Linked DNA regions of Bombyx mori. The protein of the gene in region 1 binds, or shares a complex with, the protein of each later gene. Links are inferred from orthologs where the notes say so. Each region holds a gene or a part of one and is shown in the gene's direction. Other genes may lie near its edges. The genes, in order: mitochondrial import inner membrane translocase subunit Tim21, small integral membrane protein 20 and mitochondrial import inner membrane translocase subunit TIM50-C.

Region 1 (3,393 bases):
CAACGAGCTCAATTTACGTTGTATATCAGAATAACGTGGTATTTTAATTAACAATTGATAGGTTATAGTTTCCGGTGCATCGTACAATACATTGAAAAATAATAAAAGTAGTAGAGTAATTGAAATTATGACAAAGTAATTACAGTACATTAATAAATTATGCAACCAGCTGTAACAATAAACCTAAAACTAAAAACCTTACAAAATAATAATTACAATAATAATTGCCATAATCGGCAATCTATTTTTATATAGCGCTTTTAAAAAATTGTATTTTTAATACCTTTTTTGAAAAATATTGTGTAATTAATAATAACTTAATACGTGATTCGCTACAATACAAACAGCTACTAGACTTAACATGTCCGCGGAACTAAACAGCTTCAAACAGCTACTAGACTTAATATGTCCGCGGAACTAAACAGCTACAAACTACAAACAGCTACTAGACTTAACATGTTCGTGGAACTAAACAGTTCCGCGAACATGTTTACTGGAACTAGTTCCGACACTCAAAAGAACGATGTCATGTTCAATCCAGTTCCGAACATGATTAGCGCACGTCTACAACGGACTAAGACAAAAAACTTAATTGCAATGTTCAAGTTCAAACCAGTGATCTAAAATGATTTTAATCATAGATTATACACTTCTCTGATTGAAATAAAAACAGATTTTGACATTTACAGCGGTTTTTTTTAAGGAATTTTTGGACCTGGTAACTAAGATCTTTAAGTCATGTCTTATTATTATTAAAATTCTTATTTTATGAAAAATGATAATATGGAGTGAAATGAAATGAAATGAAGATTAATTTGAAACATTAATCAACTGGGATTAAATTAAATGAAATGAGATGATATGGGATGATATATAATCTCAGTAAAATGGTGGTCATTTACTGTGACTTTTTCAATGGACTTTTTGGAAGATTCCCACATTTATGCACTTTCACAGATACTAAACAGCTATTAAGTACACATTGAAACCTGAAGAAACACTAAATAGACAAAATAAAACAAATCACACAACTTCACTCTTCGCGTTCCCGCCAAAAAGTCTATTAATATTATAAATTAGTTACCTACTACATATAGAGTGGCTAATCGAAGAGTTTTCTCTATGTTATTGGATATATCCATTTATAAATAGAGAATGGTTTTACTTTTTTAAATTGATGCTTCTTCAGATTTTAACGAGCAACATTAGTGGCTTATAGGCTTTGTAGTATCGGTGAAAAAGCACAAATATAGAAAAATTAAATCGATTTGCTTAACATAGCTTTTTCCGAAAAGTCCAATGACGTTTCTACCGTTCAGTAAAATACTGAGTATTTTATTTTATCTCATCTGAACTCCTTTAAATTCTATTTCATTTCTTTTAAAATTTTTACTTAAGTAGTGTAATATTTTATATTTTTTATTGTTTTTAACATTTTCTTTTTCGTGTAATAAAAGTGGCTGTTTCGCTAAGTTTCATTTGCCTGACTAATTAACAAATAAGATAGTTTGATTGATAGCAATGATAGCTACGTAAACTTCAAAATTAAGTAAATAACTAAGGTTATTTTTATCAACTTTATAGGAAATTTTTGACGATGAAATAACAATAAGGAGGTTGAGTTTTTTTTAACCATTCTGTTAAATAGCACACTTAAAAGTGAACGATGACTTTAATATCTAAATTTTTACCGCTTTTACGGAACGGTAGCACCACTGAAAAGATTCCTGCCATATTACAAACTAAATTTAGAACTAATACCCGTTACTTCTCTTCTGAAAAAGAAAGTGGTTTGACTAAATCCAAAAGCAAAGAAAGTGCTTCCCATGTATCTACAGATGTAAGACCCTTAGGAGAAAAAATCAAAGAAACTACAAAAACTGTTTCTTACACCGGCGTAATACTTCTCGGTGTCGGAGTCACAGGTGTGATTTTCTTTTACGTTTTTCGAGAACTGTTCTCAAGTAACAGTCCGAACAGCATTTACTCAGAAGCTCTTGAGAAGTGCAAACAGGTAAATTACCTTGTGTGAAAGAAATCTTGTTTACATTATGATAAATTTACAGATTATTTAATAAACAAGGTCAAATTTTTCTATATCATTAATCATTAGCATTGCATAATGCAGAATGCAGTACAGTAGTCAGTATTAAAGTAAGTAATGAACAGGGGAAACAAACACTATTTAAAGTATTGTTTACCAAGTATTTATTAAATTATTGTCGATTGCAGGATCCTAGAGTAGAAGATGCTCTTGGTGCACCAATAAAAGGTTATGGAGAAGAAACAACTAGGAGAAGACGTACCCATGTCAGTCATGCAGTATATGAAAAAGATGGAGTGAAACATATGAGAATGAGATTCTATATTAAAGGGATAAGAAATAAAGGTGTTGTTGAACTTGATATGAAACAAGTAAGTTCTGTTTAAATAGAAATGTGTTTAACAACTTAAAAGTTCAAATAACACCATACATCTGAATAATTTGTATACACCTCATCAATTTCTTATAATCTCTGTTTAAAATTTTCTATTTTAATAAATTCATTTAAAATCTTTCCAATTCACCAGTACACTTGTTTTTTCAGAATGATTATGGAAACTATATGTGCAGATATTTGCTGGTACAACTTGATGACTACAGTGGAAAAACATTTATAATTGAGGACAACCGAGCTGAATTAGATAATACCAAACCTGATATCGCATTTCCAACCTTAACTCTCACTCAGTGATATAAAATTAACTATGTAACATGTAAATAGTAAAGTAGATATCGAATAAATGATTAGCAAAATAAAATTGTTTCGTTTCATATTATTATGTAAAGTTTTAGTTTAAAAAATAATAAATATAGTGAGCACTTTCATATTGAAATCTTTTAAATATATAGAATACTATACCTTCTTCTGACACCATAAGAATAGTTTTGGAATATGAATCTTATTAATTAAATTCTTTGAGCCAATGAAACTTAATGCTTATAATATCATTTTATTGCAAACATTAAAACATGTTTATCCTTATTAATAATTAAAGTGAATTTTACAGTGAAGACTAGAAATTGGCACAAATCAATTATTTCGCAGTACAATTTTATAGATCTTACATAAGTTCGTCATTCAAATGTTTTCCAAGATTGTACTTTCCATGACATGAGAAGTCGATTGGTAAATATAAATTCCTTAACTTTATTGAAGAACCAATGGAATATCACTACAAAAGAGAGATATTGAGGCCAAGCCCACTTAAACTCTTCTAGTATACTAGGAGTGTATCTTATTTGCATCTCTGGAATTCTTAGATGAACTTGAACAGTCATAGAATCTGTCTGGCCATTGTAGGTTCTAGAATTTATCGTTCTGACTTCTGTGGTAACTGAAAATAGTTTAT
Region 2 (2,967 bases), on another chromosome or scaffold:
TTGCCATGCACAGGCCTATATGGCTGAAACGGAAGAGAGAGTTGCCAAGCGCCAAACTTAAAATTAGCAACTTTGAACTTAGGTGCTACCATTACAATATTACAAAATAATTCTAATGTTCATATTCTGATTACAGAGTTTAAAAAAATGTCAAATAGAAAAGTTGTGGAGAATTTAATTCTCTACAATATTAACAATAAATACAAACAGCGTAAAACCCATAGAAAACGATATATTTGCAAAAAATGTGAAAAAAATCGACTTTGTACCCTTGATCCCTGATTTTAAAACTTGCGGCTATCCAATTATATGTGAATTTGTAGAATAGTTTTAGGATGCCAAAATACAGGTTTTCATGTGGTAATATACTGGGTAGGTCGATTTTCCGAGATCAACCCCTTTTAATGACTGGACTATACAAGCCTCTTAAACACAGCTATTCATAGGAAATAGGATGTATCTGGACTGGTCTCTGGTAAATTTGCGACATCCTGAGGTACTATTTATTGATCAGAGCGTGTTATTGTAGCGTGGTATTTGATACGTTCACAGCGGACATTTTGTTATATGTATTATTACACCCTAAATATATTTTGATCTCTTTCCTACACTAAATTGAAGTTAATGCGTACGATAAAGAAGTCTAGGTATGTCTTAGACTACTGTAAGGAAAATAGCGAGGCGTTTTAGACCTTATTTCAGTAAACTAGTATTTTCTTAATGGTTGTTTGGTATTTGTCGAAATGCATACAATTGTGGGGAATAAAGTACTTTAGGCCATATCTTTTTGGTAAAAAAATCACAATTATAACTGACCATAAACCGTTATGTAATATATTTGTTTGGAATAAAAATCCGTCAAGTAGATTGCTAAAACATAGATTAACATTAGAACAATACAATTTTAATATCACTTAAATTAAAGGAAAAGATAACTGCGTATCGGATGCATTGTCTAGGTTACCAACAAACTCGGACGAATTAAAATGTATTAACTCAGTATTGTTAACAGTAATTACTAGAGCGCAAAAGAAAAAAATAAGCGACGTGGAGGATGATACAGAAACTCATATCAATATCAATGACACGGGCAATCGGACTGATCACCCGAAAGTTGTGGAATTGTTGCGGATACTTTCCCAGTTCTTTAGAAAAATCAATTGAAGTTCCAGTAAATTTGTAATATTTTACATAATTCTAATAAAATAATTTTTGGTTTAGGTAACATTATTTATCTCCCACTCCAAAAAATTTAGCTTAGGCTGTATGAGAAATATTTCTTTTACTACTCTTAGTGGACAATAATAAAAAAAAAAAATGTCATTTGAAAATCAGCTGGTTATCAATAATATAAGTTCAGGATATTATTTGTTATATGGTTATAGTCGAAATACAAATTATCAAAATCGATAAAACTCATAATTCTGAATGTCTGTACACATTTCATGAAAATAAAATTTTGAAATGGCTATATTTCGTGGTTGGCGTTACACAGCTTTTATCGGCGGTTTTATTGGTTTATTAGGATTAACTCTTTATCCGATAGCAATAAGTCCGATGATCGATGTCTCTGAATACAGTAAGATAATAAATTACTGGTATTACGATTTCTTCATTTTTCACTACTTTGTTTCTTAACTTGGCTGTTGTTCAATTTAATTTCAGAACAGATTCAAAAAGAAGCTAGAAAAAACATACGACAAGAAGACATCCAACCTGGAAGTAAGTTTAAAAGCTATTGCCATGGAAACTTTAGTAATAGAGTTGAAATATAATTAGAAACTTTGTATTTATTGTATAGATGGATGAATGAGCTCACGACCCAACTGGTGGTGAGTGCTTACCGGAACCCTCAGATAACACATGGACGTTGTAATTAACTGTGGGACTTAGTTGTTTATCTCAATTGTATAGTAATTAAAGTGGTAACTAACTTTATAAAAAAGAATAAGCTTATAGTGATTTTTAAGCATATATTGTGCATGTGAGCTCCAATCACATATATAAACAACTAAACCAGTAACTGCAAAGTTGTGAATGATAAACTTAGTGGTATAGTTAGTTATATTTGACATGGTTGACAGAGGTGGGTAGCAGCGTTTATGTTGTAGATGTCTATTGGCTCCGGTAACCAATTAACACCAGGTGGGCTGTGAGCTCATCCAATCTAAAAAAGAAAACAGAAGATGAAAAACATTGAAAATGTACTCTGTCTTTACAGATATGAAAGTATGGTCCGATCCATTCGAACGAAAGAAACCGGAGCATGATTGATACAAATTCACCTTAGGTAGTTGTCAGATTGACTTTATTAATTAGTATTGTAAATAAAAAGCTTTCAAACAATAAAATTGAGTTAATATATCTTTTAAGATTTTTCATTATTATTTTTGTACTTTCGATTCTTGTAGTATGTTGTAGATTCTGCTTCTTCGGCAGATGATATCTAGATCCCATAGATCTTAATTGTATTGTACAATGGATCTCATCTATCTGTCTAGATTGAGGAAGAATCTATCTAGATGTTAATCATCCGATTTGGTGTATATTTAGAAAAGTAATAAAACATAACACAGTGTATAGATATTTAATTTCGAAATTGCAAATAGCGCGATATATTCGCCGAATTTCAAATACTTTAAAGCCTTATAAAACAGTGGAGCACTTTTATATAAAAATATTTAATTTTGTCATATCCGTCGAGATATTTACATGTGATTTTTTCCATAAACTATACTGTAAGCGAATATCGTACACGAATAGTTCAATATCGCCGTAAGTAAATATTGTGGAAATATAAGCAAGCTGCCTCATATTAATTTGGTCTATGGATGCATCGTTACTTACATTCTAGTTGTACCTTTTGAAACCATGTCGAGTGGTGAAAGGATATTTAATTTAAGCAACATTAATACATTAAAATGCTTAATACGCAACGCTTTTCTTTGTAATTAAAGGCCCGTTTTA
Region 3 (4,312 bases), on another chromosome or scaffold:
TTGCTGGCGTGGCGACGCATGCCGTAGCGACGCGTCGCCACGCTATATGATGATATATATATAGTGTCTATATGCAGTAGTGTGTATGGTGTGGCGACACGTCGCCATGCGCAATCGACTGTGCGATTCTCTCCCACTCGATCCGGCGTTAAGCCATCTCTCTCGCTACACTGAGCTCGGATACCTATAGTGTATACTCTGTAGTGTATACAGTGTCATTTTTTGTTTACTACAGTACACATAACCTGTGTTTTACTTGAAAACAAATTATTTTTTCGTAACATTTTATTTTATCATTATGACATATTTAGTTCCTGTCACAATCTGTTCTTTTCTGCATATTACTTTTACAACATAATGTCGAAGTTTCACATCTGCCAGGCGTCCCGTGACGGCTCACATTTTTTTTTTCAGTGGACTTTTTGGAGGATCTCGAGAAGCTACGTCCAGCGGCTTTGTTTCATTTTCCCACATTTCTGCACTTTCACAGATATTAAACACTTAATAAGCCACCGTTATTACACATTTAAACCTCAAGAAACACTAAATAGACAAAATAAAACAAATCACACAACTTCACTCCTCGCGTTCCCGCCAAAAAGTCTCTTAGAGTAATGTTTTTTTTTTAAGGGATTTTATGACCTGGTAACTAAGACTTTTAGGCCAAGTCTTATTTTAATTTTAATGATACGTAACTTTTTTATATGAAAATGATATTTTGAAATGAAATGAAGTTGAAACAGCATGAAGTGAAATGAAAACGAAATGAAATGACATGAGATGAAGTATAATCTCAGCAAAATGGTGGTCATTTACTGAGATTTTTTCAGTGGAATTTTTGGGAGGATCCCGAGAAGTTACGTCCAGCGGCTTCGTTTCATTTTCCCACATTTGTGCACTTTTACAGATATAAAATAGTTAATAAACCAACGTTATTACACATTTAAACCTGAAGAAACACTAAATAAACAAAATAAAACAAATCACACAACTTCACTCCTCGCGTACCCGCCAAAAAGTCCTTGAGTAATGTTTTTTTAAGGGATTTGATGACCTGGTAACTGAGATCTTTAAGTCATGTCTTATTTTAATGTATATTCATATTTTTATGAAAAATGATATCATAGTGTGAAATGAAATGAAGATGATTAATTTGAGATATTAATCAACTGGGATGAAATAAATGAGATGATATGAGATGAAATATAATCTCAGTAAAATGGTGGTCATTTACTAAGATTTTTTCAGTGGACTTTTTGGAGGATCCCGAGAAGTTACGTCCAGCGGCTTTGTTTCATTTTCCCACATTTGTGCACTTTCACAGATATTAAACAGTTAATAAACCACCATTATTACACATTTAAACCCGAAGAAACACTAAATAGACAAAATAAAACAAATCACACAACTTCACTCCTCGTGTTCCCGCCAAAAAGTCTCCTTGAGTAGTGTGATGTGATCTGCTGCATAGATTATACACTAATCTACTGTTTAGTTTTATTTGCTCGGTTGTGTGTTAGTGAAGTTTCTCAATGCGGATTTTTTTATTACATTGAAATGTATTTCAGGAAATTATTATTTCTGACAAAAACCGCGTGTTGTAAATCTTTAAAGCTAGAGACAAAATGCCACTCAAGACAAAACATTTGGATAATAGCAGCGAATTCGCCAAAATTTTATTCAAATCAAAATTTAGGTTAGTTTTCATTTCCCATAGTTCATAAATTCAGTACGACTTTTTATTACATTGATTTTTTCATGTATTTACAATAAACAAATATGTTGGATGAACAATTTTACGTCATTATTAAATTGAACCCACTAACATCATAGCTTTGTTGACAATACTACACAAGTCAAATCAGTGTAGAAAATGTTTTTTTAGCTATTTACAAAAGCATTACATGTTTGTCAAAATCCGTTTTATATTTATTCAGCTTCTGTCACCTATAAAACAAATAGAATTCTACATTGCCTTATAATATGTACTTTGAAAATAAATAAGTAATAATATAACTTTGATAAATAAAATGCTTTCTTATTGTTAATACAAATTTACAGATGATAGAAGTAAAGATGATAAACCTGAAAAAGTAGATATCTTAGGGAGGTTCTTCCCGCAAGCCCCACAGACACAGGTTGATGCACAGCAGATTAAAAAAGAACAAGAACGTTTTGAGCAAGAAAACAAAGAGAAAACTGAAGAAAATGAAAAAAGTTGGAGAAGAATGAAATTAGGGTAATGTAGTTAACACCAAATTCTTCACAAGCTCCTAAACTTATTTGAACCACTTGAATAAGATGCAGTTTATCTCTTATTTTATTATTTCTTAATTTTCAACCAGCTCTTCAGATATATAACGAAAAATGAAGGGTGTTTTATATTTATGTGGTGTATTATTAGGCGTTATTTATTAACATTTCACTAATACATACAAACATACCTACCGTCTAACTATTTATAAAAATATTTAATGTTTTTTAGGACAAAGAAATTAGAATAGTATAGAAAGGTATCTTGAGATCTGATATTTTACTGACTTTAATTTTCATCTTCACAATAAGAGGAGCTAGATATGCATCAACTATGGCTTCTCGATATAGTCTATAGGTACTAAACATAGTCTCAATGAAAGTTATTTCAATGCCATTGACTGATTATTTTTGCACTTGCAACATGCTCTTTGACTCAGAAATGTACCTCTTAGTCTGTCCTGTGTATGTATGTAAGTATCAATAACAGTACATATAGAGGGGGGAAATGTTATTAGATTTAAGCAACATTTTTGTAACTTTACAGGAGAGCCATGTAAAGCTTAAAACTTGGAAAAAATATGAATAAATATCTTCAGCTATTTGAATAGAGTAAACTGAATTAAAGTTCTATTAAAAACATTGAACTGTTAATACTAATACCAAATAAAATGTACCTTTAATTACAAAGATAAAGGTCGCGTATTAAGCATAATGTCGCTTAGACCAAATAACCTTTTACCCCTCTGTATATATTTCCTATACATAAATAAAAACAAAGCTTCCAATCAACTTTGGAATTTAAAGTGAAACAGAATAAAATAAAAATAATGTTAAATGTTTAGTTTTGCAGTTTTTGGTGGTGGTCTCACAGTAGCAGCGACCTGCCTTGTCATAGAGATGGGCTCACCCCGACGGGATGATGAGGGTCAAATAATAGAGGATGAATTTTCACATCTTCCCATTGTCTTTCAATACCTGAGACGTTCCTGGAAAGAACTCACATTTTATGAAAAGGTAATAAAAATAATTTTATTTATGCATTATTGATATATGCATTTAATTTGAGCACTTAATTTGAAACAATTGGTAGTCAAATATTAAAATGATGATAGTTAAAATAACACCAGAACATTATAAAATTCTTTTGCACTAAAAACGTTTTTAGTGCAAAAATATTTGCCTAATATCCTATCACAGATCATATTATGCAGTTTTAATTGGAATTCAAAGAGGCCACTATTGGCCTATGGTTGAGGTTTAGATTTTATATTGTTACATTCTAAGGAATATGGGATTGGAGATATTGTAAAACTCATAGAAACAGAATATTTTGTTATTATAGATGATAAAGGAGCCATCAAGAGAGAAATTACTTCCAGACCCTTTGCCTCCACCGTACCAGCCTACATACACTCTAGTCTTAGAATTCACAGATGTCCTGGTGCATCCTGATTGGTCTTACCAAACGGGCTGGAGGTCAGTACTATCCCTGCCATGAACATGGCATGGACAACAACAATACTTTAAGAATTAATTAAAGGGGGTCTTAATTTATTTAAAATGATTCTTTAATCATTAATTTTGGTAAAGAATACATTATTCATTGCTTTTGGTGTTGGCCTAGAGCAGCACCTCACTCTCTGTTCTCGTGGGTGTCAAAAGAAGTGAAGATTCCAAGGAGAATGGACGGCAACGTTCTCTGAGTACTACTGCGCCGCACTGAGCCAACTGACCGACATTTGCCACCACGGCTACGACTGTGCTGCCTATTCTTACAGCGAAGCAATCACGCGGTCCGGTTTGAGGACAGACAATTGAGATGTTGACCTCGTATTTTGTGGTCGATGATGGCCTTTTTTTGGCAGCAGTATTGTTGATGATCCAATCACACAAATAGGTTACTTTATGATCCACGGAGGTTGAGTTTAAAGTGCATCTTATGGTGAATGGTCACCAAATTATATGATCTATGATTAATTCGTAGTTAATTTTGTTTCCAAGTAAACTCATACACAATGAAGTTGGTTTTGACTGAGCTTTGTAGAGCTTCGTGGTG

Evidence for each region.
Region 2: mitochondrial import inner membrane translocase subunit Tim21 (region 1) and small integral membrane protein 20 share a complex: the UniProt entries of both Homo sapiens proteins name them as parts of the MITRAC (mitochondrial translation regulation assembly intermediate of cytochrome c oxidase complex) complex. The link is inferred for Bombyx mori from reciprocal best matches to the Homo sapiens genes TIMM21 and SMIM20.
Region 3: mitochondrial import inner membrane translocase subunit Tim21 (region 1) and mitochondrial import inner membrane translocase subunit TIM50-C share a complex: the UniProt entries of both Homo sapiens proteins name them as parts of the TIM23 complex. The link is inferred for Bombyx mori from reciprocal best matches to the Homo sapiens genes TIMM21 and TIMM50.

The regions. Positions count from the first base shown.
Region 1 is NC_085110.1:12,601,688-12,605,080, reverse strand, and holds mitochondrial import inner membrane translocase subunit Tim21, read left to right. Parts: upstream 1-1,234; 5' UTR 1,235-1,666; coding exon 1,667-2,014; intron 2,015-2,232; coding exon 2,233-2,415; intron 2,416-2,588; coding exon 2,589-2,735; 3' UTR 2,736-2,802; downstream 2,803-3,393. Other genes in the region: transmembrane protein 231, read right to left, coding at 3,119-3,378. UniProt on the Homo sapiens protein: Participates in the translocation of transit peptide-containing proteins across the mitochondrial inner membrane.
Region 2 is NC_085120.1:2,850,686-2,853,652, reverse strand, and holds small integral membrane protein 20, read left to right. Parts: upstream 1-1,283; 5' UTR 1,284-1,464; coding exon 1,465-1,579; intron 1,580-1,665; coding exon 1,666-1,722; intron 1,723-2,221; coding exon 2,222-2,274; 3' UTR 2,275-2,366; downstream 2,367-2,967.
Region 3 is NC_085127.1:1,725,292-1,729,603, forward strand, and holds the start of mitochondrial import inner membrane translocase subunit TIM50-C, read left to right. Parts: upstream 1-1,417; 5' UTR 1,418-1,557; coding exon 1,558-1,696; intron 1,697-2,061; coding exon 2,062-2,239; intron 2,240-3,098; coding exon 3,099-3,270; intron 3,271-3,598; coding exon 3,599-3,732; intron 3,733-4,312. UniProt on the Homo sapiens protein: Essential component of the TIM23 complex, a complex that mediates the translocation of transit peptide-containing proteins across the mitochondrial inner membrane. Has some phosphatase activity in vitro; however such activity may not be relevant in vivo.